Lonchura striata: one gene and its partner. The protein of the gene in region 2 purifies or fractionates together with the protein of the main gene of each other region. This does not show direct contact. Links are inferred from orthologs where the notes say so. Each region holds a gene or a part of one and is shown on either strand. Other genes may lie near its edges.

What was found.
Region 1: the proteins of DCAF6 (region 2) and TNNC2 purify together in Homo sapiens (affinity purification with mass spectrometry; 3 studies listed by BioGRID and IntAct, with this or other methods). This does not show direct contact. The link is inferred for Lonchura striata from reciprocal best matches to the Homo sapiens genes DCAF6 and TNNC2.

The regions. Positions count from the first base shown.
Region 1 is NC_134619.1:8,185,586-8,193,299, forward strand, and holds TNNC2 (troponin C, skeletal muscle), read right to left. Parts: upstream 2,663-7,714; 5' UTR 2,460-2,662; coding exon 2,457-2,459; intron 1,722-2,456; coding exon 1,670-1,721; intron 1,573-1,669; coding exon 1,429-1,572; intron 1,343-1,428; coding exon 1,228-1,342; intron 1,152-1,227; coding exon 1,015-1,151; intron 937-1,014; coding exon 905-936; 3' UTR 691-904; downstream 1-690. Other genes in the region: regulator of G-protein signaling 9-binding protein-like, read right to left, coding at 1-47; SNX21 (sorting nexin-21), read left to right, coding at 4,433-4,703, 4,838-4,992, 5,294-5,965; ACOT8 (acyl-coenzyme A thioesterase 8), read right to left, coding at 6,991-7,109, 7,207-7,398. UniProt on the Homo sapiens protein: Troponin is the central regulatory protein of striated muscle contraction. Tn consists of three components: Tn-I which is the inhibitor of actomyosin ATPase, Tn-T which contains the binding site for tropomyosin and Tn-C.
Region 2 is NC_134604.1:15,140,470-15,148,342, forward strand, and holds the start of DCAF6 (DDB1- and CUL4-associated factor 6), read left to right. Parts: upstream 1-4,745; 5' UTR 4,746-4,812; coding exon 4,813-4,906; intron 4,907-7,873. Other genes in the region: MPC2 (mitochondrial pyruvate carrier 2), read right to left, coding at 564-604, 3,939-4,044. UniProt on the Homo sapiens protein: Ligand-dependent coactivator of nuclear receptors. Enhance transcriptional activity of the nuclear receptors NR3C1 and AR. May function as a substrate receptor for CUL4-DDB1 E3 ubiquitin-protein ligase complex.

The DNA of each region.
Region 1 (7,714 bases), on a different chromosome or scaffold from region 2:
CCCACTGCCCCCCGCCCACGGCACGCATCCCTTCTGCCTGGTGCCATTATGCCCAGTGAAAAGGCAGGGTCGGGATGCCCACGGTGGCCGCTGGCTCTCCAGGGGGCTCGGCCGCTCTGTGCCACAGCGCTGTGCTTGGGTTTGTGAGCAGCTCTGAGCTGTGTTTTGGTTCGGTGTCCCACCCACCCTGGCTGGGGACTGTACCCCTCCTCTTCCCCTCTGTTCTGCTCCACCCCAGCTGGTCCCCAGGGAGCTGTGATTGCCAGCAGGCTAGCACAGCCTCCTTCACAGAGGGCCACAGGGACAAGTGCCACCTTTCCCCTGTAGGGAGGGGGCTGCTCCTGCCCTTCCACCTTATAGCCAGGTCCTCTGGGGGGGAGATGTGGGTCCCAGTGTGGGGCGGGCAGCGGTGGCTCTCTAGAACCCCTGCAGTCCCACAGCCCTGCCCTGGAGCAGGACTCTCAGGGCCAGGGCCACCCTCTGGCGTGTGAACGAGCTGCTCTGCACGGAAACTCTGAGCTCAGCGCTGGCGCCTGCCCAAGAGGCCGTGGGAACCACAACTCTGGGCTACTCCTGCAGCACTTCCCTGTGGCGTGAGCCTGCCCACGTTCCCTCCCTGAGGAGCAGAGCAGGGGCACACTGCCACAGCCCCCTCCCCATGCACCCCCAGTGAAATCCTGCACCAGCAGCTCAAGCCTTTCCTCTTTAATTGAGGCTCGAATCAAAGCCACAGGTGACAGATGGGAGGAAAAGCTCAGCCGCCGGTGGTGAGATGAGACCAGGACCCTGACATGGAGCAAGGTCCCAGCCAGTGCTGAGGGCCAGATGCTGTGGAGCTGCTGCTCCCTGGACAGCAGAGGAGCAGGGCTGGGTGCAGCAGCTGGCCTGAGGAATGTCTGGTCCCTTACTGCACACCTTCCATCATCTTCAGGAACTCTGCAAGAGAGCAGCAGCCTCAGCCCATGGCCCTGCCTGGGTGTACAACGTGGGTGCTTGTCTGGGGCCACTGCTCACCATCAAAGTCGATGCGGCCGTCATTGTTCTTGTCTGAGTCCTTCATCATGTCCTCTATGTCCTCATCAGTGACAGGCTCCCCGGTGGCTCTCAGGATCTCGCCCAGCTCCTCAATGTCAATGAACCCATCCGCATTCCTGCAGGAGGGTGAGGGAGGGATGAGACCTTGCTCGCCCCCAGAGACAGGATGGGCCACTTTGCCCCCACACTCACCGGTCAAAGATGCGGAAGCAGTTGGCCAACTCCTCCTCAGACTTGCCTTTGGCATCCTCTTTCATCTGGCGCACCATCATGACCAAGAACTCCTCAAAGTCGATGGTGCCGCTGCCTGTGGGGAGGAAGCCAAGCGTGGGTCAGGCTACCTGCCCAGGGTCCAGTACCCACCCCTGCCACCAGCCACCAAGGGCTGCTCACCATCCTCATCCACCTCCTCGATGATGGCATCCAACTCCTCTTTGGTGGGGTTCTGGCCCAGCATTCTCATCACCGTCCCCAGCTCCTTGGTGCTGATGTCTCCACCACCATCAGCATCAAACATGTCAAAGGCGGCTTTGAACTCTGTGGAGAGACAAGTCAGGTCTCTGAACAGTGGAGCAGAGCCAGACCCTGCACCATGGCTATGTCCAGCCCCTGTCCCTACCGTCCCCACACTCACCCGCAATCATCTCCTCACTGAGGAAGGCACGGGCTTCTGCCTGCTGGTCCGTCTGTAAGGCAAGGGAGAGGGGCACCCATATCAGGCCAGAGACCCCTCATACAGCATGGCCAACAGTGCTTGGCTGTGGAAAGAGCCTCTGCCCTGCTGCAGGATGATCCTGTGCTGCCATGAGTCACAGACACCAGCAATCCCTACAGTTATGGCACTTTCTAGGCACCCATGAACATGGAGGGCTGCAGGGAGCTGCCTGCACAAGTCTCCCCTTATCCAGGGGGCTCCATTGTGCTGGGGTCATGGTCCCTGTGTACAGCCTTGGTATCCTGGGCATGCAGTGCTATTTTTGGGTTCTCCTCAGCTCCCCTTGTAGGGATTGCTGGGGCTCCAGCCGTGGCACCTGTCAACCCCGATCGAGTTTCTCCTGGAGGCGCAGGCCGGCCATGGAGCCAGCAGCAACGCCGTGTCGCATGACCCAGCACTCGGCTTTCAGCCACCCCTGCCACCCCTGCCTCTGTGCAGCTCTGAGCTCCGCACAGGGCTGAGATGGTGTCCCCAGGAACCTGCACCCCTCAGCAGCCACACTCACCCTCAGATCTGTCCTGTGGGGACCCTGCACCACCCCAACGTTTCCCTGTCCTCACTGCCATGGTCAGCCCAGCACTGGGGACCGTATCCCTGCTGCCTTCTGCAGAGGCACCTCCACAGCCCAGACCCCCCTGTGCCTCCTGCCCAGTCAGGTCTTGTCCTGGCACACAGCACATGGCACACAGCACACAGGAACGCTTACCATCTTGGGAATTTATTGGGCTTCCCAACCCCAGAGAATCACCAGCTCCTGCAGCAGGAACTCCCAGAAGCTTCGTGGTGCCCCTGGCACCCCAATTTGTAGTGTCTCCTCTGTGGGATGTTCCTCCAGCTACAGCCCCCTGGCCCCCTCAGCCTATCAGCGCTCTGGCAGCATCCAGCCCCTCTCACTGGCAACTGGTGCCTTTACCTAATTTAGCCAAAGCTTTATTGGCCAAGGGCTGGGATTAACGTGGGGATGAGGCTGGGATGGAAATTCAAGCCCTTCAGGAGGGAGATCAAAACTGTGGCAGGAGCACAGCTCTGCCCACCCCCAACACCCCCATCCAAGGCAACTCAGCAATGAGGGGGTTAAAAATAGCCCTGGAGACGTCAGCATCACCCGGGTAAGGGGGACAGAATCCCCCCTGCTCAGGGGGCATGGACTATTACCCACTGGCCCCTGAAAAAGTAGCCCTTCCTGGCCCAAGCTCCCAATACCAAGCTGGTTTCCCCCAGCACAGCGTTCTCTCCCCCTGCACCCCCATTTTCTGCTCCAAGAGACCCAGGCAGAGCAGTGCTGCAGCCCCCCACCCCAGATAAGGAAGGGGTCCCCAGTGGGGCCCAGGGCATGAAGTCCCTGGAGAGATTTGGAGCATGAGCCCCATGGTTTGGGGTCCCCAGTGCTGTTGGCACCTGTTTCCGGAAATAGGTCCATCTTTTCGTGCTTCTGAGGAGTGGGAATTATGCCCGGTGCCTCCTCGAAGGCTCAGTCCTCACACTCACAGCCTGTGCCAGCCACTGCTGCCAGGACCGGCTGGGGCTGGTGGCTCTGGGGATGTACTGGCCAAGTAGCCCATGCCCTGTGGGGCTCAGAGTCTCAGGGCTGCAGTGGGGTCAGGGTGACTGATCTCTGTCCCACAAGGTCCCAGTGCCAGGGATGACCAGGGGTTTCCTAGCTCCTGGTTTTGCTGGGACCCCCATTCACCAGGTGGGAACTGGGAACAAGTCCAGCCCCTAGTGCATCCCACCCTGCTCAGAGAAGCTCAGGGGTCCCATCTGAGCCTGGGTGAGGTGCAGGGTGCTGGAACAGGACACAGTGAACAAGCGATGGACAGAGTGATGGCAGCAGCTGGGCTGCTTCCTCGATATTTATAGACATTCCCAAGGAAGCAGTGAGGAGTGAGCGGGCAGGCTCTAAAAAAGGCCAGGCAAGTGCTGGAGGTGCAGCTTGGCCATGGGGCCCGTGGCGAGGAGGCCGACTGAGGCCAGGGTGGCAGGTTGCCAAGGTGGCCCAGGGGCATCCCAGTGGGATAAGGAGCCTGAGTCTGGGTAGCAGGATACAAAGATGTTGGTGATCCTGCTTGTAAGGGCACAGCGATGCCAGGGTATTGGGGTATCAAGACCCTGGGACACCACAGCGCCGAGCACTGGAGTGTGGGGGTCCTGTGGCCCCAGGGCAGATATCCGGGGCTCGGCCCGACCAGGACATCCCGGACAGGGGACAGAGGAGCCGAGACGGGGAAGGGCGGGGTCGGTTCCTAGGCAGGGGCTGCGGGCAGAGCCAGGCTGAGCCCTGACCCTGATCCGGGAGTCCCGGGCGGTGCTGCAGGGACCGATCCCGATCCCGGCCGTGCCGGGCAGTGCCGGGAGAGCCGATCCCGATAGTGCCGGACGCTGCCGCAAGCGCCGATCCCGATCCCGGCCGTGCCGGGCGGTGCCGGCTCCGCCGCCCCGATCCGGGTTCCCGGCGGAGGCGGAGCCGCGCAGGGAGGATCCCGGGACGAGCCGTGGCGGAGCGGCCATCGCTCGGCACTGCCCGGCTCGGCTCGGCTCGGCCCGGGGCAGCGCGAACGGGCCGGGGCGGGGGCAGCAGCGGGAGGCTGTCCCGGGGCCGGGCTGTCCCCGCCGGGGGCCGTGCCGCGGTGGGCAGCCCCCGGCCCCGCCGTGCCGCGGTGCCGGGCCGGACCCCCGGCAGCGATGGCCGCCCGCATCCTGCACCGGCTGCGGCACGCGCTGGCGGGCGAGGCCGGCCGGGAGGAGCCGGCGGGCGGCGGCGGCGAGGCCGAGGACTGCCCGGAGAGCTCGGAGCTGGAGGACGACACCGAGGGGCTGTCGACGCGCCTCAGCGGCACCCTGAGCTTTACCAGCCACGAGGACGAGGAGGAAGAGGAGGAGGGGGACGGAGCTAGCGAGGAGCTGGAGGAGCCGCCGCAGGCGCCGGGAGCGGCGGCAGGCACAGAGGACGGAGGCAGGTGCTGGGGCGGTGAGCTGGGGGGACTAGGGTGACTCCAGGGACACTTATGCGATGGTGGCGTCCGGCAGCCCGACAGATGTCAGAGCCCTGTCCCCACGGGGGGCACTGACGCTCCTCTCCCGACACAGAGTGGGTCTCTGCGGCGGAGCGTCCCGGCGGCAGCCTGCTGACCCGGCAGCTGCAGGAGCTGTGGCGGAGGTCGCGGGGCAGCCTGGCACCGCAGCGGCTGCTCTTCGAGGTCACCAGCGCCAGCGTGGTCAGCGAGCGCTCTTCCAAGTACGTGGTGAGTGAGCCCGGCGCGGCTGGGCGGGCAGGGGGTGGGTACGAGTCCTGCTCTCCCCGGGGCAGGGATCCCACGGGGCTGGTGCTTATTTTTTTCTCTTTCTCCGTGCTGCTCGGATGGTGCTGGCGGCTCAGATGAGCCTCAGGTAACTATTGCTGATGGGTGCTGCGGCTGCAGCAGCCCAGTCCACTCCCTTCTGTTTGGGCAAACTCCCCCAGCCCCTTTGTGGCCGCACACCCTGCTGTGCTTGTGCCGGGAGCAACCTGCCCACAGCACTGCCTGACACCTGCCTCCCCCACAGCTCTACACCATCTACCTGATCCGCTCTGGCCAGTTTGACAAGGCCCCTGCCACCATCGCCCGGCGCTACTCGGACTTTGAGCAGCTGAACCGCCGCCTGCGCTGCCGCTTCAGCTGCGACATGGCCAGCGTTGCCTTCCCCAGGAAGAGACTGCGCCGGAACTTCACTGCCGAGACCATTGCCAAGCGGAGCCGAGCCTTCGAACAGTTCCTGTCCCATCTGCACTCCATCGACGAGATCCGCCGCTCTCCCGAGTTCCTCGAGTTCTTCTTCCTGCCGGACCTGCAGGCTGCACAGCGCCTGACCTGCACTGGCATGTACCGCGAGGCCCTGGCCACCTGGGCCAATGCCTACCGGCTGCAGGACCGGCTGGGGGTCTGCAGCTCCGGCCGCTTCCTGCTGACACTGGCCGGGCTGGCCGTCTGCCACCAGGAGCTGGACCAGCTCAGTGAGGCCCATGGCTGCTGCGAGCAGGCGCTGCAGCTGCTGGAGGCCCAGGGCAGCCACCCGCTCCTGGGACCCTTCCTGCAGACCCACGTCCACCTGGCCTGGAAGGTGGGCAAGGACAAGCGGCGCTCGGAGGCCCGGCTGCAGGACCTGCGGGAAGCTGGGCTGCCTCTGCAGCAGCAGCCTTCCCTGAAGGAATGCCTGATCAAGGAACCTCTGGAATGAGCCACCTGTGCTAACAGGGGCGGGAGGGCAAGGGCTGTGGGGGAGCTCACAGGCCTGTGGCAGCTGGCAACAGCGAGGGAAATGCCATGGGTGGCAATGGGGCAGGGGAGCAGCGCTGCAGTCCCACGGGCAGCACCGCCCATGCCTAGAGCTGCCTCCTGAATGCACTTTCTCTGTGGTTAGTCTGTTTAGCGGGGCTGGGGACTCAAGGGGGTCCACCACCCACATTGGTGCTGCCAGAAGCTGCTCCCCCTCTGCAGGGGATCCTGGAGTGGCTGAGACCTTAGCTGGGACATACTGGCACCTTGCAAGGGAATGGGAAAACTTCTGGCAGGGTCCAGGGCTCTTGCTGGGAACTTCCCATCGAACTTACACAATAGAAAGGACTTTATTAAATAAAGTCTTGGCAGGAAGAAGAGCACGGCGCCTGCTGAGTCTGTTTAGCCTTACTACCCCAGGGCATCATCAGTGGGAGGCCTCAAACCTCCATACAGAGGTGGGAGCTGCCTCATCCCCTTCTCCCAGCTCCCAACTGGGCCCAAGCCCAAGCCCAGTCCTGGGGAGGAGCCCAAGGACAAGCAGAAGTAGCGACTGAGGAGCCAGGGCAGTACAAGCAGTGCAGAAGTGAGAAGAGGAAACAACGTGTGCCAAAGTAGCACCTTCCCCTCCTGTGACCCAGCCTGGCACAGGGGAAGAGCTGATCCATTGTGCTCCTGGCACTGCCTGCCCTTGTGCAAGCCCAGTCACAGGTCCAAGGGGACAAACTCCAGGGACAGAGTCCAGCTCTTCACCCAATGGCTTTATTTTAAGGTGGATGAAGGATAGCTGATGGCAGTGTGAGCTTACATGCTGTGCAGCTAGCAGCTGGTTGCAGCGATGCTCTGTTGGTCACAGTCTGTCGCAGACATCTCTGGCACTGGAACTTCCTGCAGTGCTTGGTCCCACCTGGTCTCCTTCCTGTCCAGGTTGTGTCTTGATCTCAGGGTCCCTCCCTCGGCATGCTTGAGTCTATAGCGTCTCCTCAGCTAGAGCTTGCTCTGGTTTGGTGACTGTTCCACCCTGATGACACCTTCCTGTGCACAGGTGACAGCCAGGACCCCATCCCTGCGCCACAGCCGTCCCTGCACCAAGCCCCGGCACCCACCTGCAGAGAGAGACTGTCAGACTGCAGCCCACTGCCCCAGGACAGGCAGGGCTGGCCTTGGCCATGAGGGTCTCCCAAAAATGCACTAAGGACTTACCAGCCCAGGGGCTCTCACACTCGTACAGCATCCAGTGGTCAGCTCTGAAGGGCGCGTGGAACCACATGGAATGGTCAAGGGACACCATGAACTTGACGCGGTACTGCCGGTGCGGGAGCAGGGCCGTGCCCAGGAAGGCGTAGTCAGAGATGTAGGCAGCCACGCAGCAGTGCACCTTCATGTCAGTCTCCCCTGCAGAGCAACCAGTGCTGCCCATCCCGCTGGGGCCTGTGGGACGTGTCTGGAGTGCAGAGCCCCAGGGGCTCCGCTCCCCTGGAGCCAGCTGCCAAGCACATCTGAGATCCCTCCAGACTTATTCCCTTTGCCATGCCATGCCCCAGCATGGTTCACAGCATCATTTCTGCACCCACACCTGTATTACAGCCTTGAAGTGTCCAGGCTAGGGCACAGGAAGCCCCCTAATCACAGCCCTCCCAGCCCATTCTGTTGCAAGAGTGCTCCACAGGTGAGCTGGTGCTTAAGCCCTTGGATTGGGAGGTACCTGAAC
Region 2 (7,873 bases):
GGAGGAGCACAGTGATTTAGGAGGTGGCATTTGCATCACCTGGGCGCAAACACAGCCCAGGGCTGTAGCCAGTGGGAAGCAGAACCTCACAGGAGGCAGGGCACACCACTGGACAGCCACAATTGCAGCTGCTTTTGTCTTTTAGGTCAAGACCATCTTGCACTCTGACATGCTTCAGCCTGCCTTCAAGCTATGAGGCTTCGGAATTGGCTTTCTTACAATATACTTATCCGTATAAGATATTTCTCAAATTCCTCAATCTCAGAATAGACACATGCTTTATGAGTTTTGCATCATGCCTACCTTGAGCAACAGGTGGTGTTTCACAAGAGAACCCCAGTGAAAAGCACAATTCTTCCACAAAGCATTTTCCCCATGTTGTATCCCCTTCAGTTTGTGTTGTTACTAAGGCTAATTTTGTTCCTCCCCATATATTAAGAATTAGAGCCTCTTAATCTTTCTGCAGCCTCAAGTATCTGCTGGGAATCTCTTGCTTGCTCAGTGTGTTGCTGCAGGTTGCCCTGGGCTTGACACCCAGACACCAGCTGGCATCTTGTACTTACCCATTTCATGACAGGTGCCCAGAAAAACACTGTTTTGGGACCTGAGGGAGAATGGGAGAAAAGAAGTTAAATTACTTAGTAAGGTGTGGCTGTTTTAATAGCCACAGTAAGTTTGTTTTATTTTAATTGTTGTTTTTTTTTAATAATGAATTGTTTATATTAGAGTTTCTATTGCTGTACAAGCTCTAGCACCTAATACTCATAATTCATCACCTCAGTGCATCAACCTTCAGTTGTATAATCACTCCACACATTTCTGCAACAGTTGGACAGGATTTTTTATATCCATGTTTAAGCAACTGAGGACACTGGAGCAAGCAAAATGCATTTTTAAATTAAAGACTTAGGAAGAGTCCTAGGAATATGGAAAACACCCCAAAAATCTACCAGTAAGCAAAGGAGGATTTGGGGGAAAATGAGGAAATCTCAAGAAGGAAGGGAGGAAAATCCAATGGCATGGGACCTGGGGGAAAAACAACTCTCTTATGAATACTTGTGATTTTCAATGGTGCTAAAACAGCAACTGGTTGGTTAAAACAAAGCCCATGTAAAGCCACGCCTACAACTATGCCAGAAATCATTAATCTGGGACTTCTGCTCCAAGTCTTAAATGAGAGACCACAATTCAAATTACCAACCCCTATGAAACAGTCAGAAATTAACCTTTAGGTCACTGCTCAGCACACTGATAACATGCAAAATGAAGCCAAGTTTTCACTATAATATATTACATAGGAGTAACCACCAGGACTTTGGTTCCTGCTTTTTATGAGAGCTATTTCTTTCACTAATAATTCAGCCTTAAAAAGACCTTGCACTAACTACTTGTACTTCCAGTTTTAACCATCCTCAAGTTTAAAACTATGAATTGGGAAACAAAAACTGGCTTGGCAGCCTTGCATAAAGCCCTTTTTAACCCACCCAGCTTGTGATCAAGTTTCAAACTCCATTTAATAACTACAAGCACACTACTTTTTGTCTAATATTGTTGAATATTAGATAACAGCAGCTTAATGTTCATCCTTTAAAGATATAAACTTCAGCTGCTGTTCTCTTAGGCACTTACTTGGTGTGTCAGTATCAGGCTGCAAATACAGCTTGTTATAAATAAATCAGTCTTACAGAGTAGCTTTAATTACTAACATTTATCTTATTCTAAAAAGCAAATTCAGATTTGGAGTACCAGAGGATGTGGGATGAGTATAAATTATTAAACTGACATTCCCTAAACAGCTAGTATAGTTTTCAAGAAGACTGACATTAATTTTTATTAATAATAGAAAACTCAACCATTTCAAATTGATGACTGCAGAAATAAGAATTGGAGAGGGGGAAGGTACCAAACCAAGTTTGTAATTAGGGAAGACTGTTAAACACCTCTCCTTGGAGCACTCCAGCAAGCACCCAGCCTGGGTGAACTCTTCCCAGCTCCTGACATCCAGAATTTTTCAAGGATGAATACAACAGCAGCACATGAGAGCAGGGGAACACCAGAGGCTAATTTAGGTATCACATACATGACCAGTTTTATAGAATTTATGACTTCTATTAAACGTAAGAAGTCTTTGTGCTGAAAACTTGAGTTTAGTCAGGCAAAGTGAACCAGAGCAGCCAAAGGGGAGGGAGCACAAGCTCAGCCCTTGCTTTCCCATGGCAACCTGGGGAGTTGGTGTGCCAGGCCCTCCACTGTCCTCCAACAATGCCAGCCAAAGAAACAGTTTTTAACAGGCACCAATTCTTTTGCTGGAAGCTTTCTTTATGCCAGAAAGTGCTTCATGCCTCACAGGTGATTTATAATTTCATGACAATGACGCTTATATTCCTGAATTAGACTAGAGATTAAGATGTCACTGGAGATAAAAGAAAGTCTTTCATTTTTAACCCACTTTTTTTCCTGCAGAGTGACATCTATTGCATAACTTTCTCAAAGACACACCTTCAAGGCTAAAATAGAAGTTGCAGGGGTTCAGTTTCTATACTTGCTTGTGCTGTGACTTTTCTCACTTACACCATCAGTATGGATTATGACAGGTATATAACATATATATACACAAAGAATCCCTAAAAATGGATTTATTACTGACAACATTATGGTGATGACCAAGAGCGGCCCACAGGCAGTTTTGTGAAGTGAAAAGCACTGCAAGAGAACCTCCAAAACTTTCTCCAATTCCCACTACAGCTCTGTTGAAGAAGGAACATGGATGTTCCCAGCACTTGCTGTGCCTTGCATCCACTAAGAGTATCTGGAAGCTGTCACATTTCACACCAGTGGAATGTGTCTCTCAGTGTTGGACATACTGTCTCTTTATGTATAAAAGCAATACGCTAATGTTAAATATATTGGTCTAGTGAATTCAGTATAAATCAAACATTTTGAGGACTGCACTCTTCATCCTTTGTGATTCCTTTAGAACAACGATTTTCCTTCCAAGAAAGGGCCGTTGTAAGAGGATAGAGCAAGTGACTGCAAACCAAAGTCCATTTTCACAGTGCATATTCCTGGTAGGTGAAGAGTCAAGGATGCCTGTGACACTGACAGGAAACAGTGGGGACAGAGCCTATGGAATGCCAGGATTTTATCGGGCGCTCGTTTTAACAACCGACGCAATTTGTTTACATGACAAACACCACGTAGATGGCACTGAACGAGATCCTTTTACAGGAGGTTTCTCCCTAATAACACAACCCCCCACGTTTGCCCATGGAAAGGTAAACTGCAGGTCAGGTGAGGGGAGCTCATTCTTTACCCGCAGGAGTCCTCCAGCGAATTCACCAAAGGCATGAGCTGTCTTTGGTAGAAGCGTGGGATTCAGCAGAAAGGAAATAAAACCAAAGGCTGCCTGACTTGACCAGGGCACAGTTCAAGATCAGAAACCCTGGAAGTGCCCAAGGCCAGGCTGGATGGGGCTCTGAGTAGCCTGCTCTGGTGGAAGGTGCCCCTGCCCGTAGCAGCGGGTGGAACGGGATGATCTTTAATATCCCTTCCATCCCAAACCATTCCAGGATTCTATGATTTTTCCAGCACATCCTCTTGCAAGAAGCGGTTCCCGAGGCATCCAGGCCCCTTTAGACCCACGACATCCCCTGGGCCAGGCTCTGGCAGCCCAGGCGCTCCCTGGATCCGCCCCGCGGTACCGCGACAGTGACAGCAGCGCATCCATCCCGGAACCAGCCGTGCCGTGCCCGATTATCCTGCTCTCCCTTCAGGAGCAGTCAATTCCCCGTTACGGAGCAGGACTCCGCTCCAGGGCCGCCCTCCCGCGCCAGAAGCACCCGAACCGCGTTACTGCGGCCCCGCCCGTACGGAACACATCCCCCGCGCCACCATCCCCGCCGGTCCAACCGGGGGCCAAGGTGACCCGCGCCCATTACCCGCGGGGTGGTTGTAGAAGGGCCGGAACCGCGGCGGCAGCATGAGCTCGATGCGGTCCAGCAGGCGGTGGTAGGAAGCGCGGAGCCCCGCGACTGCGGCCGCCATGGCGAGGGACGGGGCGAGCGGGGTCCGAGTGGGGAGAGAGGGGCGAGCGGGCACCGAGCGGGGGCCGCGTCCCGTCCGTCCGTCCGTCCGTCCGTCCTCCGCCCGGGCCCCGCCCCCCGGGCCTGCCCGCCCGGCACTGCGCCCTGATTGGTCACCGCCGCAGGGGGCGGGGCGGGGCGGAGAGCTGCGCGCGCTGTTATTGGCTGAGCGCGCTGGGCCGGGCAGCTGGGGAGAGCTGGCGCGCCCGCCGCCCTCGGGAAGGGCACAGGCGCCCGGCTCAGAGATGGCGGCCGCTGCTTCGCTCTCCCCTCAAGATGGCCGCCGCGGGAGAACCCTGCGCTGCGAGTAATGCGCCCTAAGCCAAGATGGCCGCTTTGCGGCTTCACAGCGCTTCACTGGACGGGGCGGGTTTATTCCCGGCGGAGCCGAGCGCCCTGACGTCACCCTCCACGCCCACGACGCGCCCTCCCCTCAGTCGGGGCGGGGCGACGTCACCGGCTCGCGCGAGACGCCCATTAATCTCGGGCCTCCGTGCCCCCTCCCCGGCGGGCGTGGCCCACCGCGGCCGGGGTGGGCGTGGCCCCCGCGCGCGGTGGGCGTGTCCCGGAGCCGCCGCGCCCCTGGCTCGCGGTCGGTGCCTCGGCGCGAGGCGGGCGCGGGGCGCGCGCGCGGGGCCCGCTCGGCGGTTCCCATGGTGATCGCGCGCGCCCGGCCGGTCCCGGCGCACCCCCCCGGCTCGGCGCGCGCCCTTCCCGCCCGCGCGGGGCCATGTCCCGCGGGCGCTGCCCGCACCTGCTGTGGGACGTGCGGAAGCGGACCCTGGGGCTGGAGGAGCCGGGACTGCTGCGCAGGCACTACCTCGGTAAGGACCCGCGCTCGGCGGGGCGGGCGAGCTCCGGCCGTCCCGGGCGCCCACCGAGCGGGCAGGGGGCCCGGAGCCCCTTCCAGGCGCCGCCGCTCCCCCGCTCGGCCGCGCTGTCCCGCAGCTCCGAAGTTTCCTGTGCCGCGTGTGGGGCGGCGACACCTCCAAATCCACCCTCCGCGACCTCAGGGGCGGTCCGGGACACCCCGGCCCCATCCCTCCGCGCTGCCCGGGTGGCCTGGGGCCCGCCGGGACCCCCCGGTCCCTCGGTGCGCGGCTCCGCTCGCCCGCCGCGCCTGTTTCCCGAAGGAACTGTTGCACGCGGAGATCCAGCCGGGAAGTTGGGCGGCGGCTCAAAGCAGCTCCGGCGTCGGGCGTTCCGTGCCCGGGGCCGGGCAGGGTCCGGATTTACCGGCGCTGAGCTGCCGGCGGCTGGGAACAAAGCACGTAGACGCCTCCGGGGTGATGGCGCGGCCGCTGTCCGGCGGCCCGAGGTGTTGCCGGGCTCCGGGAGAAGCCGAGCCGCCGCCGGCGCTCGGCGCGGCCATCCCCCGCGCCCTGGTGTCCCCGAGCGCTCCGCGGGGTCCCCGCCGGCGGCGCGGCCCCGGCTGCCCCCGCGCCCGAGCCAGGCATTTGCACTTCCCAAGTTACAGCCAGCGCCACTTTTCCTCCCCGAGGCCGCGCTCGGCGTGAAGGAACTATCGATGTTTTTTGTCATGGCGCAGGTTTTGTCTAAACACGCTGCCAAAAAGTATTTTTAAACGCCGGTGTTTATTTCACGTGTTGTCGGAGGTGTGGCGATCCATCGTAGCGGCGCTGGGGATCTGGGGGTTGTCTCTCCGGGGTAGATGGCTGGGTGGGTCGGGAACGCGTTCTTTTGTGCTCGTGTGCCAAAACAATTCTTGCCTTGGAGTGGAAACCTCGAGTACTCGAGATGGAGCTTGATTTACAGCGTTGTAAAACGAGTGTCGATCCGTGTCTCCCAGGCTTTCCCGGCTGTGCTCGGTGGTGATGGTCTGTCGTTTGGGTTTTTCCTGGTGGAATTTAAGGTGGGATATCACATTACTGAGCCTAACTCAAGAGTTTTCTGCCTGTAGTCCCTGAGCGCTCAGTAATCCACAAAACGTTAATCGAGGAAATCAAGGTTATTGCTGTAGGTTTCTACCGATTGCAGAGAGGGGGGTGTGTCGGTGTGTGCCGTGCACAAGTCCCTTGGAAAGAAATTTTGAGTCCTAAAATAAAAAAATTGATTGAGAACTAACGATCTAGCTGCTTTTGATTTTGTTTAGTCTCAAGCTGTGCTTGGCCAAGCCTTAGCCGAGGATTGTTATAACTTTTAGTGATCAATCCTTCTGACTGGATTTTTTTTTTTTTACTTTTTGTCTGCTCCAGTTGGAGCAGAAAACCTCAATGTTAAAATGAGGACTGTAGTGTGCAGATTCTGAAGAAGTGCCTTTTTTTTTTTTTTTGGAAGAAGACCTTTGTTGGTTTTTTTCTTCAGCTTTTACATGGTTGTGTCTCTGAGAGTTGAAGTACTAAGATTCGAATAGTAGAAATCATCTTCCCAGACTTCCAAGATGTCTTTTCTGGATGCTACTCCAATAAAATGTTTCTAACTTTAGTTAAAACTATGGTGCCTTGGTTAAGGTCTCATATTTACTATTCTTCCTTTCACCTAAACAAGTTCAGTTGCTTGAGAGCCTTGAAAAAATAGGACCTGGGAGAGCCTTCCCACGGAATTGAAGTTGAGATCTGCATTGGTGGTGACAAGACATGCTCAGTCCGTACTGACTCCTGCTTTTCACCAGGGGGTTGGTACAGGGTGTGCTTGTCTTGTGGAACCACTGCACTTTTACCCAAATGGCGTTTATGGCCTTGATAAACCCACTGATTTGACTGCTAGTCAGGTGTGGTTGTTCAAGTGCAGATTTCCTAGAGAAGAGGCCTGTTGTGCCTTTTTGTGTGCAGGGCAGTGTAGGTGTAGGTCTTTTCTCTTTCAGACTTCAGCAGCTCTGTGTACGAGCTTTGTTCTCTGGCCCACTGGTCAAGACTGCCCTGGTCAGCTGGGTGCAAGTGCTTATTGGTCACTGCTGGTCTGATCTGCGTGGGAAGTAAGGCTTCTTCCTATTTATAATTTCTTTTTTTCAGTAGTGTTTCAACAGTCTGGCAGGCAGAACAAATGGAGGGCAGGAATTTCACTGTAACTTAGGAGTAGTGGGAGACTTGAGGCATTGTCCATGTGCATTTTTTTTTTTATTTGAGCAAATCTGTCTAAACAGTTATGGATTCAGGTACAAAATGAAGTAATTTATATGTCTCTTCTTTGCTTGCTGCACTTTTTCAGCCACCAAATGAAAGGAAAAGCATTACAGCAAGTTCATGACTAACAATGCAATTGGGAGGAAGATGTCTGTGTGGATGGTAGTTAATGAGCCCTTCACTGGGATGGTTGTGTTGTGCTACAGTGTAAAATATCAGAAATATCGACAGTGACCATGTTTTGAAGAAAGACATCTGAGAACTAATTGCTGTTTCCTATTTACTCGGTGTTTTAGTTTCATGTGAATTGGCAATCAAGTGGCACTCTATAAATAGCCTCTCTCAGCTTCTGAAAACAGCTGCTCCAGGAAGGGTCTGTGTAATGTACCTTTCCATGCAGATAGCTCACCCGTGGAATTTATGGCCTTGCGGAAACTCTCTCTGATTTTGCAAGATCTCTAAATAATTGCTTTGAAGTCCAGTCAGTTCTGGACAGAGTTTCAGAGAAACGACTCATGAAGATGGGGCTGTAGGTGCATCTGTGGGATGTATCCTTCAGCTGTTATGCTTTGGTGAGAACTCCTGCTGTGATGAGAGAGGGAAGATGTGGGTCTCAGCAAGGTATTTGTTAACTACATTTCCTTCAGCATTTGTAGGCTGATTAGTCTCAGTTTCAGACAGTTCTTATGTTTGAGTTCTCCAGAGGAA